2 linked regions of the Oreochromis niloticus genome follow. The protein of the gene in region 1 purifies or fractionates together with the protein of each later gene. This does not show direct contact. Links are inferred from orthologs where the notes say so. Each region holds a gene or a part of one and is shown in the gene's direction. Other genes may lie near its edges.

Region 1 (6,940 bases):
GTATTCCCTTTTAGTTTCATTCATGTAATATGGATTCTAACTCTAATGACAGCTTTACCTGGGCTGTTACTGACAGCTGTCAGAGCCTCTAGAGCACATTTCTGAACTTTCCCACTGCCAATGACATTCCTGAAAACTTCACTACAGCCAGCGGACGAGGAGAACGAGTCGCCACTGCAGATCCTCAGTAACGACAGAATTCCAGACACGATTAAATCCGGAGCGCAGGGGAGGCAGTCAGGATCCTGTGGGAGAGAGGGAGATTATAAGCCTTTCCATGTGTTAGAAAAAAAAGCTAACACCTTATAACACGGCCTGCGACTGAGGGCTTGTTACTTCTATCATTCAGATTTTATCAGAAATTACAATGTAATTATGTTTACATACAGCTACTTAATGCTAGGTACACAAGTGTACAGTACAGGAAAGAATTATTATTATACATGTTATCCCCTTATTCTAGTGTGCCTGGCTTTAATTGTGTGTATGTAAATATAATTACATTGTAATTACAAATAAAATACCCTAAAAAGTCTATTTTATTACAGAGGAATTAAAAATTATAAAGTGTTAACTGAAAAAGATCCAATATTTACTTAGCCACTCTCTCCTGTCCTTACACTCACCATGTGTGCGATCTGAGGTGTGTTTGTTAGACACACACTGATCATGGAGATGCAGGAGGTTTTGCTCTTCAGCTGCTCAGTCATGGCAAACCGATGCATGTCTCCTACAGGCCCAGATCTCATGTTACTCCATAGCATAAATGCAAGATAACACAGATTTTTCTCAAGAGTGTACGTCTTTGTGGGTCACCTGCAGTGTTTGTGCCTAGTAGGTTCTGGCCAGATATGATGTCGAGGGGTAGCAGCAGTAATCTCACAGACTGAGCTGTGTGGACACGGTCACTGCACATAAAACCAGAAGAAAAGGAACAATATTTTGTAGACAGATACTATAATGACAAATCCCCATGGGTTTTTAACAGAAAACCCAACCTCTACAGACGTTCGTGTACAGAGTTTGTGTTGGCTGAAGAAGCTGTGCTTACTGATGGCCGCCGCGGAGAAAAGCAGCTGCAGCATGGACGAGGTCAGCAGGTTTCCTGGCGTTCAACATGAAAGTTAAAAGACGGGTGATGCGTTGGTCTGGGAGGCGGCTGCAGAAGCAAGCACAGCAAGAGTCTATAAACTAAACCTGAACAGCAGCACAGTCACTAATGTATACTTAAAAACAACCACTAGGTAAATGCTGTGGATGATGGCTGACCATTACACTGTCCTGTGGTATTGCATAGATCAATAGAACAAAGCCATCGATGCTATATCTATTAGCAGATTTGCATATTCAGCCAGGAAGCTCCACTGTCCTCACCTTCCTCTTAAAGTCACTACTTAAAATCCAAATAATCTCTAGTAGAGACAAAAAAGGACAGACAACTCTATAAAGCGACACTCTCCTGTGTTTTATGAGGGGTTTACCTGCATGCAGCTAGAATGACATCCATCAGAGGCAGTGTGAGTTCACAACAATCTGCTGCCACCATTTCTTCCAGAGAAGCTGTGACTGTCTGCAGCAGCTTGTCCCGCAGAGGAGGCTTGGTCTGGCCCAGGAGCAGAGCCAGCAGTCTGAGAGTCTGCTGACACTGATGAAGCTGTGTGCTTCCCTTGGGAACCCCCAGCGCCCTCTTGAGGTACTCTGAGATTGCATCGACAACAGCGGTGCAATCTTGGTTTATTTCCATGGGCTCGGCTGGGTTTTCTACAACTGCTTTGGACGCACGTGTGTTCTGCTCATCTTCCTTCTTATCGGTGCCATTACATCCTACAGATGAGACAGGCTGACAGAAGAGCAGGACGTGGGCGAGCATTTGATTGGCAGCTGAGGCAACAAATAGGCTTGTGTCTGTCTGGAGTTGCAGAAGTGGCTCAATGAAATCTAAAAAAACCAAACAAATATAATACATATATATGAGGATGCATCAGAATTACAACAATATAATACCTATAGCACAGTGCCTCTCGCCCTATGGCAGCTGGGAATGATCCAGCCCCCAGTGACCCTGAATTTGATATGCAGGAGCAAACAAATGAAAGGACGAATAGAAATAGCATATTATCCTTAATACTAATGATCCCCCCCTCATGAATCGATGCAAAAAACTCACCTGCTTGTATAAAGAAACTAAGACCATTTGGATGCTGCAGTGTGGTCCTTAAGCCCTGGATCCAGCCAATCCGTATGCAGGGATCCTCCCAGAGCCCTAACTCCTGCCAGTGCTTACAGCTAAAGACAAGATCCAGAACTAAGGACTCCTGCAAGAGAGAGAGGGAGGCACAATGATAGGGCAGATAAGCATTGGAATATTTTGTAACAGTTTACTAAATACACCAGGCGTCAGAAGCTCTACCTTAAGAATTCTGAAGGCGTCCTCAGCAGCAGCCAATAAGCCGATGAGTCTGAGAGTGAAGGAGAGGACACCTGGGGCTGAAGCCGTGTCATGAATCACAGCAGATATGAACTCAAGCAGACACGGACAGGCCTCCAGCAGAGACTCCCCTTCAAAGAGTGAAAGAAAAGAAAAACAAGGATACAGATTTACACGGGATCACTTTTTTATGTGCACCATAAAGAGAAATGATAAAGGTACAAAAGACATGAAAAAGGAACATTTTAAATTTAAATTTATCTTTATTAATGCAATATAACATATATATAAGTATCTTTGAGTTTTGGGATCTTTTACAAAATGTAAATGTTATCTGCAAATATCGGTGATATAATCTGAGTAATAATCACCTACAAATACAGTGATTCGCTGCATGGTATTAAGTTTAGATCAGTTCTCTGGAGAATGAGGGCTCTTTAAAACACACCTTTCAGCTTTTCATGTATTTTGAAGCTGGTTTTTTTTCGGAGAACTGGAATGTAAATGTGCTTGTCTCTGTCTCAGCTTGTGTCGTTCAAATATGCTATAGGCTTTAAATCAAGCAGAAGTGACAGTCAACACAAAAAAGACAGTCATCACATGTTTGTTTCATTTACAAAATATTTGTTATTCAACCCAGGTCAGAGGGTTACACACTGAACTTAGAATATAGAAATAAAGTATCGATTAGATGGTATCGATACTTTTAACAATATAATATTTGAATTGATCCTCCTATTAGAAAGATAGTGGGAGAGGAGGAAGAATAAAGACACGATCCTGTTAGGGTCAGTACTACTAACCAGCCTCGGTGAGCGCTGTGAACCAGTCCAGCAGTTTCTCCAGAATGGTGTCATCGGGCAGCGAGCTCCCTGAGGCCGCCAGCACCTCACAGACCCGGGGCAGCAGTGACACACACTCTCTGTCCATGGGGCTAAGGTGTGCGTGTTAATAACCGCCGTTGCTAGCTTAGGTTTTTACAGCTAGGAGTTATATAAAGTCTACACATTATCTAACCACTCATGTGGATGTAAATGTGACCTCTAGCTAAATTATGCAGTACAGACCAAACTGAAGCAGCCACTTTAAACACACAAAGTCGTTGTTTTTTGTACTTTACTAAACGAACGTCTCGCGGGAAACAGTTTCGGATCTACCGGTGCGTCGTTTCCTTTTCCGTGCTTCTGGGCGGGTCTCACGCCGCTGCGCTCTTCGCTGATCTCTAAACATCACTGTGGGGGAAAATTACCACCAGTAGCTGTTGTACTTCCGGTCCCTATGCTTTACAGCTTTACTGCTTCTGCGCAGCCTTTTCACGCGCCTTTGAGGAGGTTCCGGTGTCGCGTTTCCGTCACGTCGTCCATTTTCACGGATCCGCACATGGTGCTGCACCGGCTGAGGATCGCCAGCCTTTTCGTTTTCGGGATTTTTGCTCCGCTGTAGACAAAAGTCCGTGTTGTAGTTCTGTTAAATGAAAGAAACGGTGGATATGGTGGACGACCCCGAGTATGAAGAGGAGGAGCCTTCCTTCAGCGACCCGGAGGACTACGTGGACGATGTGGATGACGACGGTAAGTAGTCACAGGAAAAACGCCGGCTTTCCGGCCTGCTGTTAGCAGTTAGCTAAGAGCTCAATGGTGGGGATGTTTTAGATGCTACAAAGCTAGTTAGCTAGCCTCTCTGGTCACCGGCACGTAGTAATAGTAAATAGTGAACAGTGACCATGAGCTGGATGCATAAGCGTAATTACCAGGAATACAACAGCGACACCACCCTTTTTCTCCAAAAAACTCCCAACATAACGTTATCACAGTGTACTTAACGCCCGTTAAAGCCTCACCCAGACCCCACACAGCCACTCACTGGGGCCTGTGCGATACGATCTGAAAAACCGAAACAGGATTTTAGCTAGTAAAGCCGTTAGGGCACATTATTTTCTCTGTGCTGTTTGCTTATATAAAGTAGTTTAAATGGGGCAGCTGGTTGTAGCTCAATGGTAATCCTAACCCAGGTCTGAGGGGCGTTTGCTCATTAGAGCTTTTCAATTGTGCAAGTTTTGCAGTTGTGGTAAAATGACTCATCAGATACACGTGTTTTGTACTTAGTAGTCACAATATAATTATTTATGTATAGTAGAAACCTTGGGGTAAATTTACAACAAAATTGGTACCATTTAATATTAATTTGCTGAAGTTAAACAAGGACACAAATGAAATAGCTTCTGTGAAGCTAAACACGCCAGCATAGCGGTTCTTTATCCTTATCAAAATGATGTGTATTAAGCAGTGAGTGTAAAGGAGATGTACTATTGAATTAACTTTATTATGATGTAATTATATTTTGTCTACTTATAAATCATGAAGCTTAAACCTGCACATCTCTAAAGAAAATTTAAACAAAAGAATTGTTTGTTTCAACGATGCAGTCTTCCCTTCCAGTAACTGAAGTGGTGGCTATAAAGTTTAGATTGGTTCATGTATATGAAAAGAAGGTCGACATTAAAATGAGATGAGAACCCCAACCCCACACAGTCCTATCAGCTTGTTCATCACCCTGACCCTCCTCCTTCACTTTTCAGAGCTTCTTGATGACATCCTGAGGGAGAAACCCCAGGAGGCAGACGGCATAGACTCGGTGGTGGTGGTGGACAACGTCCCTCAGGTCGGCCCGGAGCGTTTGGAAAAGCTCAAGAACGTCATACACAAGATCTTCTCCAAGTTTGGCAAGATCACGACTGAGTTTTACCCAGAGGCGGATGGTATGACCAAAGGGTATGACCGCAGTTGTTTTCTTCTATGTTCTTTTGTGCATCTATTTTGATTCAAGGTGGATTTCCGGATTTGAAGCAGAGTTTTTGTTTTGTTTTTTAGTAATTGTTTTTTCTCCTCGTTTACAGTTACATCTTCCTGGAGTATGCTTCTCCTACTCAAGCCCTCGAAGCAGTCAAGAACGCAGATGGATATAAACTCGACAAGCAGCACACGTTTAGGGTCAACCTCTTCACTGACTTTGACAAGTGAGTATGCAGTACCACTCAATGCATTGTCCAGGTATTGCTTGCCAGACTTGGAATACAAGTAAATAATCGTACCTTTGTTTTTCTCAGATACATGAACATCAGCGATGAATGGGAAGCTCCAGCAAAGCAGCCTTTCAAAGACTTTGTAAGTGTTACCTTAACTTTTCAGTCATAATATAATGAATCAGTTTATAACACTTAGAATTAGTTTGGCAAAAATAGCTTCATGTCAGCACTTTCATTATTAAGTTGACCTTCATAAATCGACAGGACAGTCTCTATCCTGAAACCGTGCAAGCGACAATAACTCTGTTTGTGTTTTCAGGGGAATATGCGCCATTGGATCGAGGACCCAGATTGCCGTGACCAGTACAGTGTGATTTATGAAGCTGGAGAGAGGACTGCCATTTTCTCCAACGACGCTAAAGAGCCAATCACAGTTGAAGAGAGAGCGGTGAGTTTTTAATTACTCACGCAGAGTTGGTGGGAAATGCAGGGCTCGTATCAAACATGACTGGTCAGTAGTCACTGGTTTGGAGAGTTCTGATGTTTTTCCTGCTTTGATGCAGCGCTGGACAGAGACGTACGTCCGATGGTCTCCTAAAGGTACCTACCTGGCTACGTTCCACCAGCGGGGAATTGCACTGTGGGGCGGCGAGAAGTTCAAACAGATTCAGAGGTTCAGCCATCAGGGTGTGTCCCTCATCGACTTCTCACCATGTGAAAGGTAATCAAAAGTCGACTTTAATCCAAAGAAGCACATTATAGTTATATTATAGAGTATCCCGTTCAAGTGTTTATTCATTAGTGATTTATTTATTTCCTGTAAATAAGGCAACGTCACCTAAATCCTATGGGTTGTTGCACCATGACATGGGGACAGCAAAGGATGATTAATGTGCAGATAAAGCACTCTAAAGAGGTGCCGAGTTGGCCTGTGAGCCACAGTCTGAGCTTAATGTGTGGTTGTGCTGGCTTCCAGGTATGTGGTGACCTTCAGTCCACTGATGGACACCAAGGAGGACCCACAGGCCATCATCATCTGGGACATTCTGACCGGACAGAAGAAGAGAGGGTTCCACTGCGAGAGTTCTGCACATTGGCCTATTTTTAAGTCCGTATTATGCTTTCTCTCTTTTAAATCTAATTTAAATCAAATTTGCTGCTTCTTGCAGAGTTTGGATGTGTCTTCTAATTTTACATGTTTGTTATCAGATGGAGCCATGATGGGAAGTTCTTTGCAAGGATGACACCAGACACACTGAGTATCTATGAAACTCCGGTAAGTAGGCCTGAAAACAGTCTAGATGCGTTTAAATGAAATGTTCAAATGATATTAAAGGTTTATATTTTGTTTTGTTTTTTTCTTCTTGTAGTCTATGGGCTTGCTGGACAAGAAGAGTCTCAAGATTACTGGGATAAAGTAAGAGTCCTTCATGCGCTCATGCTTTAAATTGTGACCGCATTTTGTGTAGAGATATTAATTTTTGTGC
Region 2 (7,939 bases), on another chromosome or scaffold:
ACAGTAAATACTAAATATTGAATATTATTGTGCAGCACGTAAGCTCGACAACGCACAGTGTGTTTTGAGGTAGCAGCCAAGAAAGGTGTAGTTTGTGTCTGTGAGCACTCGTGTGTACACCTGTGAGCATGAGCGCGCTTGTATTCAAAAGGTTCCTTCGTGTAACGATCTGCTAGAGGGTGTGGGGAGCCATAGCCCCGTCCCCCAGGGCGTGAAGCAGGTATGGAGGAGATCCACTCTCCAGACATCCATAGGCCCCCAGAGCGCACGAGTCCAAGGAAGACCAACGGAGGGGCAACCATGCCACCCTCCTGGAAAGAGCTGAGGAGAGCCCCAGACAAGGGGTCACCCAGCAGCCATGGAGCAGAAGCCAGAGGGGGCTGCAGTGACGTGCCCGTGAGCTAATTCTAATTCTAATTTTAAATATAAATGATAACCTTGTGCTCCTTGAGGTTTTCTACCACCATTATTATCTGTCTTATCTGAGATAAGGCTAAGTGGGAACAAGAGAAAAGAGTGTCAGTGAAGAACACCATGTAGACTGTCTATCCACCTCATAGATAGCCAGCCAGATAAAATCCCCCTACTTCCTCATGTCAAATAAGTCATGTCACACATACCTACTGTATTGACTACTTAGGGCGGATTGTATCTGTGATGTCTCCACACAAACTTGATAGACATCAGTACTAAGGTGGACCTTAGTTGACAAATTCTCTCAAAGTAGGGTCAGTAAACGCCAACTTGAAAAAGTTTCTGCAAGTCATTATGTTTAAAACCAGCTGTAAACTGTTCACTGACCGTGCTGACAGCAGGGCAGCAGTGAATGATCGCAGGTCTGCTTCCATTAGTTTGTTACGGGACCTCTCCATCCATCTGCTCCTGCTCCCGCCCAGCTCCCGCTCATTTATGCAGAGTGGCCACAATTTACAGAAGGCCATTTTGTCTAATGGATACCATTCATTCATTCCCAGTGTGCTCTTTGGCAGGCGCTCACCAGAGTGCATTAGGAAATTAGTCCACTGCGAACGCGGACGCCATTGGAGATGAACGGCAAGATCAAAACCTGTCTGACTCCCGGTGATTCAGTCACTGCCATAGAGCTGATTTTGTATTCTGTGTCTGTCGGCTATACTTCAGTTGCTCCATCGGTAATGACACCATTTTGATGTGAAATTGGCTACTCGGATTCACTATTAGAGAACTGTGCCATCTTCCCTCTGTTTGACATATTGAATCCCACCGTAATAAAATGATTACCAAAGAACAAGACACAGGCCTGTAGTGGATATGATGAGTAATGCCTTTATGTAAACACTAATACTATTTTCAGCCAACGGCACCAGCAAACACTGTTATACCTCCTGATTAAGGACTTTTTGATGTACAGGAACTCAATGTCAAAGAGGATCCTCATTTCCATAAGCTGGTTTTAGGTTTCCCCTGCAATGTGATTCATGGATTAGCAATAGTGTTTGATCTATATGACTTGGCAGGGGAAGGAAACTTGATCAATAGACTGACTCTGTGGGTGTATGTGTAGCTGCCCTTCAGGGAGCTGAGCAGTGTGCCAGAAGACAAACTAAGCACTGTGACAAGAAAGTGCAGCGTCATCATGGATTTCTCCTCTGTAGACTCTATTTGATCTAAAATGCCTGTCAGGTTTCATTAGGTAATTGCCCTCTACATTGTCTCTGAGCTACTTTGCACTTTTTTTTCATCTGCTCAGCTTTGCTGATTCAGTTCAGAATCATTTAAATCTCCTGCAGTGACTAAATTTAGACCTACCTGTATTCATCAAAAGGACACGATAGATACTGATCTAAAGATTTAGAGATCTCTAATTCTTTGCTTTTCTAGTAAGAAGTTAAGTCTATCAGCACAGAGTGCTGTTTGTATTGTTTTTGCTTGACTGCCATATTGCTCCATCATAGCTTTGCTGGGCTTTACAGTGCTTTCACACACAATGGGAAGAGCAAAACCCCTATCCCTATGTTGGAATTAATGCTTTGTGGTTATCCAGGTGTCTCCCTCTAACACAGGCATAATAGGTAGTGAAGGTATCAAAAAATGTGTTGCCCAGGCAGGTGGGTAAGATATAACACATTCAGACCAGGATATAGTGTTGGGCTGCAGCCAGGTAGGGGATAAGAGCTGCCTCTAGCATTTAGAACCAGATGTTACCTCATGAATTCTTGTCCAGGAATCTGTGACTCATACTACACCGCCCAACCACACAAAAAAACGGCAACAAAAAAAAACGCAACAAAAAACCCCCAGAGAACTTGTGGATACTGCAAAAAGAAAAGGGAAAGAATATGGAGAAGTGGTGGGGGATAAATCATGAAGCATTTGACAGGGGGAGGGAAGGATGAAGGTGGGAAGGATTAACAGATGGATAGATGGCAGATGAATAAGGTAGGTGGAGGAGCTAGTGCAGAAGCGAGTGCTTTTTTCCCCCTTCCCCTCCTGACTCTCTCCATCCTTCAGTGTAAATGGAATGACAGGCTTCATCGTGGGGGAAATATTTCAAAAGTGCGGCTGAGTGAAGAGGCAAAGCAGAAAATAAACAGGATGGATGGCAGACGAATCAAAGCCTTGGACTGATGAAAGTGCACCCAATATCCTGTCTGTCACTTAGCAGAGGAGGCCGGCTGCTTGTTAGGACAAGAGCCTCTGCAGCTGTGAGTGTACATACATTTGTGGCGCTGAAGTGGGTTTATATGTGCGTGTTGAAGTCAACTGACTGCATGTATGTGGGTTTTTTAATACCATTTAAGCACCATCCAAGTCTTTTTTCCCCTCTGTCTCACGCACAAGAACTTTTCAGTGAAAGCACATGTTTGACACAAAGGTGAGTCTTCCCGATTGAATGAGTTGGTGTCTGATGGGTGAAATATGTCTGGCCCAGCTACACCTACGATAGGGAGGGAGGAGGGCCTTGGGTAGAAAAGTAGGAATCTGTTCCTCTTTCCTGTGTTGTTAAAAGCTTCATTTTCTCCACGTAAAGCGCTGTAAGGCTGTAAAAGCTCTCTTTCTGGTTCTCCTCCCATTGCAAAACCACAAACCCATAGCTGCATTTACACAGCATTTACACATTAACACGCACATTTGTATTTGCACCACACATTTGCACATACATGATGCACGCATGCTCACAGAAGTTGCAGCTCTGCCGATTACAGCAATAAACTGATCAGTGTTTGATTTACTTCATGTGCCACAGGACCTCAAATGCATTTAATTTGGCACAAGAAAAATGTGCAAGAAGGACTATGACAAATGGTTATTCCAAAGCAAATGATGATCCATCTTCACTATTATGATCCATCTATTAGAATGAAAGTAAGAAGTGGTTGTTTCATTTAGTAAACCTGAAGAGATCCTGTTAAAGTGTGGCATTGCTCTTCATATTAAGTGATGATCTTTTTTCTTTTAAAGCTGTTAAAGAGAAACTTTTCAACTATGGTTGTAATTCCAAATGAAAGGTTCACTGTCAGTAATGACTGAAATTAATTCAGCATTTCAAAATGACAGGATGGCTCACAGTGATACTGACTGATCCAGTGCTCTCAGTTCTACTGTTATAATCCATTATAAATGTGTGGGTTTTATGGGTGTTTTTCTCTGTCATTACACAAACTTGCTACTGCTGTTTTTCTGAACTTGAAAAAATGCAGGTGTCTCCTTGCATGTTTTAATGCCAGGTGTGCAATAGCTGCACACGTGTATGCTGAAATACATAAAGTAAAAACTCCAGGATCAGTCCGATTGTTTTGCAGGTGTAAAATTCATTGATAAGTTAGAAGAATTGGTGATTGTGTTGGATGATGGGACCTCCTGACACCTCTAAAGGAACACCCTTGGGCCCCAAACCCCAGGGTGGGAACAATGGGCATACAGTACATTGTTTGCTAGTGAGAAATTATCTCCTATAATGATCTCATGGGGAGAAAGACAGTAGCTGTGGTTCATTTTGATGATGAAAATTCATTTGACATTTAGGCTCCAATTTCCTACAAGTGGGAAATAAGAGGGTACTCGCTTAATTGGTGTGCTGCACTATGGTAAATGTCACCGCTCATGTAGAACCACGTAGAGCCAGACATGTTTCTTTAATACTGCAAGGTGTCTGTATGCCTGGTCAATGTCTCCCCCAAGAGGCTGTAAGTTGAACAGCAAAATAAAAAACAGCCACACAGGGCTGCTGCACGCAGTGGACGCTTTTTGTACACTTATTATTATCTGCATTTAAAGTGTATTTTCATTCATGTCCTGAGGAGATCAAAGCTGTATAGTCTGTGTACCTCTTGTTTCTAGAAATTCTAATATGCTTATACTGTATATCTTATTAAATTATCTAAATTCTCAGCAGTATTGGGCCCATTTCCTCCACCAGATCAAAAGCTGAAAACAACAACAACAACAAAAAAAAAACCAAACAAAAAAACTCCCTGACATGACAAGTATGGAGACAGTTAAGGGAAAATATTCCCTGCTGTTTTAGTATTCAAGAAAAAAAAGAAAGAAAAAATATATAGACTACAGATAGTTCAAAACTTATATATATAAAAAACAAATGTATGAAAGGCCTCCATTATGGAGCTATAAATGTTCTTACAAGGCTGCTTTGTACTTATTGTTGTTGAACCAAAGCGACTATCATTAATGTTATTAAGTAGCTACACCATGAGACTAAGTCTGCCTGTAGTGCTCCAGATTAATGACATTTAATGACATTTAGTCAGGGGAAGAGCACAAACTATAAGTGTAGATTGTTAAATTATAAGTAACATTCGTCCACCATAATTTTAAAGGTTTACTGGAGTAAAAATGTTGAGGTAACTGGAGTACTGGGCCTCAAAAAACATTCACATAAAAAGACGAGAGGCTCTCGAAACTACACTCAAGGACGTGTGAGTTGCGCTCAGCTCAGCGCAGACTGCGCAACTTGACGCTTGTGAAGTTCCGTGTGTGTATCGCTAACTCGAGCTAATTCATCAGCTAGCCAACCTTGCGCAGTGTTGGCCAGGTAGACGTACAATGAGAGATATTCCGGATAAATCGAATAGCAGTTAAGTGTTCGGCATTGTAATACAAACACGTAAGTGATACAAAGCGACTTTGCCTCCTTGCTATTGGGTTGTCACGGGAAATAGGTTAACATTAGCACTAGCTTGAGCTAATCAAAACAAGCACGAAACACTCACGAGGCTCCGGTTTCACCTATTACACCGCAACTACACGGGCGTGTCCGCTTTTGTATTAGTTGTGTTAAGAAGTATGATGTATGTTTCCTAATAACTAGCAAGCTTTGCAGCTTGTTTTATTAGCTAACCAGGCACGTTAGCTAGCTGGGACCAATGTCAGTTAATAACATTAACCTGGTGTTTTATCAGATTAGCACTTGCATTCCTTCTTTCCATGTGTACTGTTTACCTTGTTGTTGTTTTTAGATACTGGTTGTTTAATAACCCGGAATGTTGCATTGAAACCACATATGTCGCCCTCCCCCATGCAGATTAGGCCGTCCAAATGGTGGTCATATCAGGCACAGCCACTGTGCTGCAGCAGTTTGTCAGTGGACTGAAGAGTCGAAATGAAGACACTCGAGCAAAATCTGCCAAAGACCTGCAGCACTATGTGACTACAGAACTCAGAGAGGTAACAGCAATAACCTATATGTGCATAATTGAAAGCTGTCATGGGAAAACCACTTAGTATACTGGATACTTAATCAAGATTGTTGCCCACTACAGTTGGAGAGTTTCACAAGTCATATGGTACAAATTCATGTAAACAATTCCTTCCTTTTTCCATACTTGCTGTTTTGACACTTGTCCCACAGTTAAGCCAAGATGAAGCTACTACGTTCTACGATGAGTTGAACCACCACATATTTGAGCTGGTGTCCAGCTCTGATGTGAATGAAAAGAAAGGAGGGATTCTTGCCATAGGTAAGCATTAATAAAAGGTTGTTAAAATTGTTATATTTTTAAGCGCTGTTAATTTTGGACTTATTTAAGATCTCTTATTTTCTATCACTTTAAAATGATTATTGTTTTCATCAGTGAGTCTAATTGGAGTTGAAGGAGGCAATGCCACCAGGATCAGTCGATTCGCCAACTACCTCCGCAACCTGCTCCCTTCCAGCGACCCCGTGGTGATGGAGATGGCCTCTAAAGCTATGGGCCACCTTTCTATGGCGGGGGACACCTTTACAGCTGAGTATGTGGAGTTTGAAGTGAAGAGAGCTCTGGAATGGTTGGGAGCCGACAGAAATGAAGGGAGACGCCATGCTGCAGTAAGTCACTAGCAGACAACAGTCACTGTGGTGTTTGCTGTTCAAATAAAACCACATATTGGTGGTGTTTACATGTGCTGGAAATGTGGGCACGTTGGGAGCTGTAATAACTTTATCTATTGCTGTAGTGAAGGCAGTGTTGAAAGTTGCTCTAGTGTATTTTGGGTTGAAGGCACAAGTAGTACTTCATATGCACTCTCATACCCCAAATATCAGCACATTCTTGTTCTGTTTTCCCTGCTAAAATGTTTCCTTTATAAATCTGCTCATGCCCTTGTAACCGTTTCATTAATATTTTCCTCCTTGATGGTTGCATCAAGCAGTTGTTGTTACATAGCTGTTGTTATGCAGCTGCATGTGGTTTAAAGGTCTAAAATATGTGGCCTCTGCTCTCTGGCTACAACTTGCTTGTGGTGTTGGAGTGAGCTGGAGAGTAGTGAAGCTTCCTAAAACATATTTTTAAAAATTTTCTCAATGCCTACATTCTGAAGTGCACAAACATGTTTACACCTCCGCACAACGCAGTGTTCAAGGTGCACCTTTGCTAGATTATGTGTGCATGCAACCAGGGTGAATCCTTCATCCTCTTCACTGTGGCCTCTTTGCTCTGTTCTGTGTGCGTGTGGGTGGGTGTCGCCCAGCTGTGGCATCAGCAAAACCTCCCAGGAGAGAAGCTTGATGAGATGTTGATGCAACCCGGTCACTATGTTTTTATAGAGTACCGACCCCAGACACTGTTATTATTGGCTGGGGCATCACACGCACAGTCCAGAACAATCCTGAACATAGAAATAATTAGAAATCAGAGAATGTGCTTGCCTTTGCTGTGTTTTATTTAGCTTATTATGCAATTACCATTTTCACATTTTTACTGGCTGTAGAATATTAAATCTAGTTACTTTCCCCAGAATGTCCACATGATGTTGTTGGGAAATAACTATAAAAGAGCACGGAGATATGGAAAAGGGAGATGAAAACCAAATTGGCAATAAAAAAACTAAAATTCATGGTTGAGCTGCAATCAGTGCCAGAAACAAAGAACACAACAAATCCATCCATCCATTCGCTTCCGCTTATCCTTTTTAGGGTTGCGGGGGGCGATTGAGCCTATCCCAGCTGTCATAGGGCAAGAGGCGGGGTACATCCTGGACAGGTAGCCAGTCACAGGGCTAACACACAGGGACAGACAACCATTCGCACTTACATTCACTCCTATGGACAATTTAGATTTTTCAATTAACCTATCCCCACAAAGTGCATGTCTTTGGACTGTGGGAGGAAGTCGGAGTACCTGGGGAAAACCCACGCAAACACGGGGAGAACATGTAAACTCCACACAGAAAGCCTGATGGTGGAATTGAACTCAGGACCTTCTTGCTGTGAGGCAACAGTGCTACCGTACTGTCCACACAACAAATCCTACAAGCTAAAAAATTTAAGTGATCAAAATGCACTAAGCATGGGTAAACGGTCAGAAGAACACACATAGGATTGGTTGTGTAAAGAGATCAGTGATTTCACTCCCAAGTTGAATGTGTTCCAGCAGTAAAATTGAAAAAGTAAAGAAAAACAGGATCTTTTTTGCTCCTTAGCAAGATGGAGCCATTCATGTATCAGTAGGAACACAGTGTGGTC

The links. Proteins that work in one complex are often made in the same cells at the same time.
Region 2: the proteins of eif3ba (region 1) and mtor purify together in Homo sapiens (affinity purification with western blotting; 3 studies listed by BioGRID and IntAct, with this or other methods). This does not show direct contact. The link is inferred for Oreochromis niloticus from reciprocal best matches to the Homo sapiens genes EIF3B and MTOR.

What each region holds. Positions count from the first base shown.
Region 1 is NC_031971.2:13,426,020-13,432,959, reverse strand, and holds the start of eif3ba (eukaryotic translation initiation factor 3, subunit Ba), read left to right. Parts: upstream 1-3,860; 5' UTR 3,861-3,899; coding exon 3,900-3,999; intron 4,000-5,006; coding exon 5,007-5,199; intron 5,200-5,324; coding exon 5,325-5,444; intron 5,445-5,534; coding exon 5,535-5,592; intron 5,593-5,772; coding exon 5,773-5,901; intron 5,902-6,016; coding exon 6,017-6,174; intron 6,175-6,429; coding exon 6,430-6,561; intron 6,562-6,662; coding exon 6,663-6,729; intron 6,730-6,823; coding exon 6,824-6,870; intron 6,871-6,940. Other genes in the region: integrator complex assembly factor BRAT1, read right to left, coding at 59-245, 627-730, 817-908, 1,052-1,159, 1,482-1,938, 2,168-2,315, 2,411-2,559, 3,232-3,358.
Region 2 is NC_031984.2:28,352,371-28,360,309, forward strand, and holds the start of mtor (serine/threonine-protein kinase mTOR), read left to right. Parts: upstream 1-4,931; 5' UTR 4,932-5,074; exon of another isoform or gene 5,075-5,104; intron 5,105-5,521; 5' UTR 5,522-5,535; coding exon 5,536-5,664; intron 5,665-5,848; coding exon 5,849-5,957; intron 5,958-6,071; coding exon 6,072-6,304; intron 6,305-7,939. UniProt on the Homo sapiens protein: Serine/threonine protein kinase which is a central regulator of cellular metabolism, growth and survival in response to hormones, growth factors, nutrients, energy and stress signals.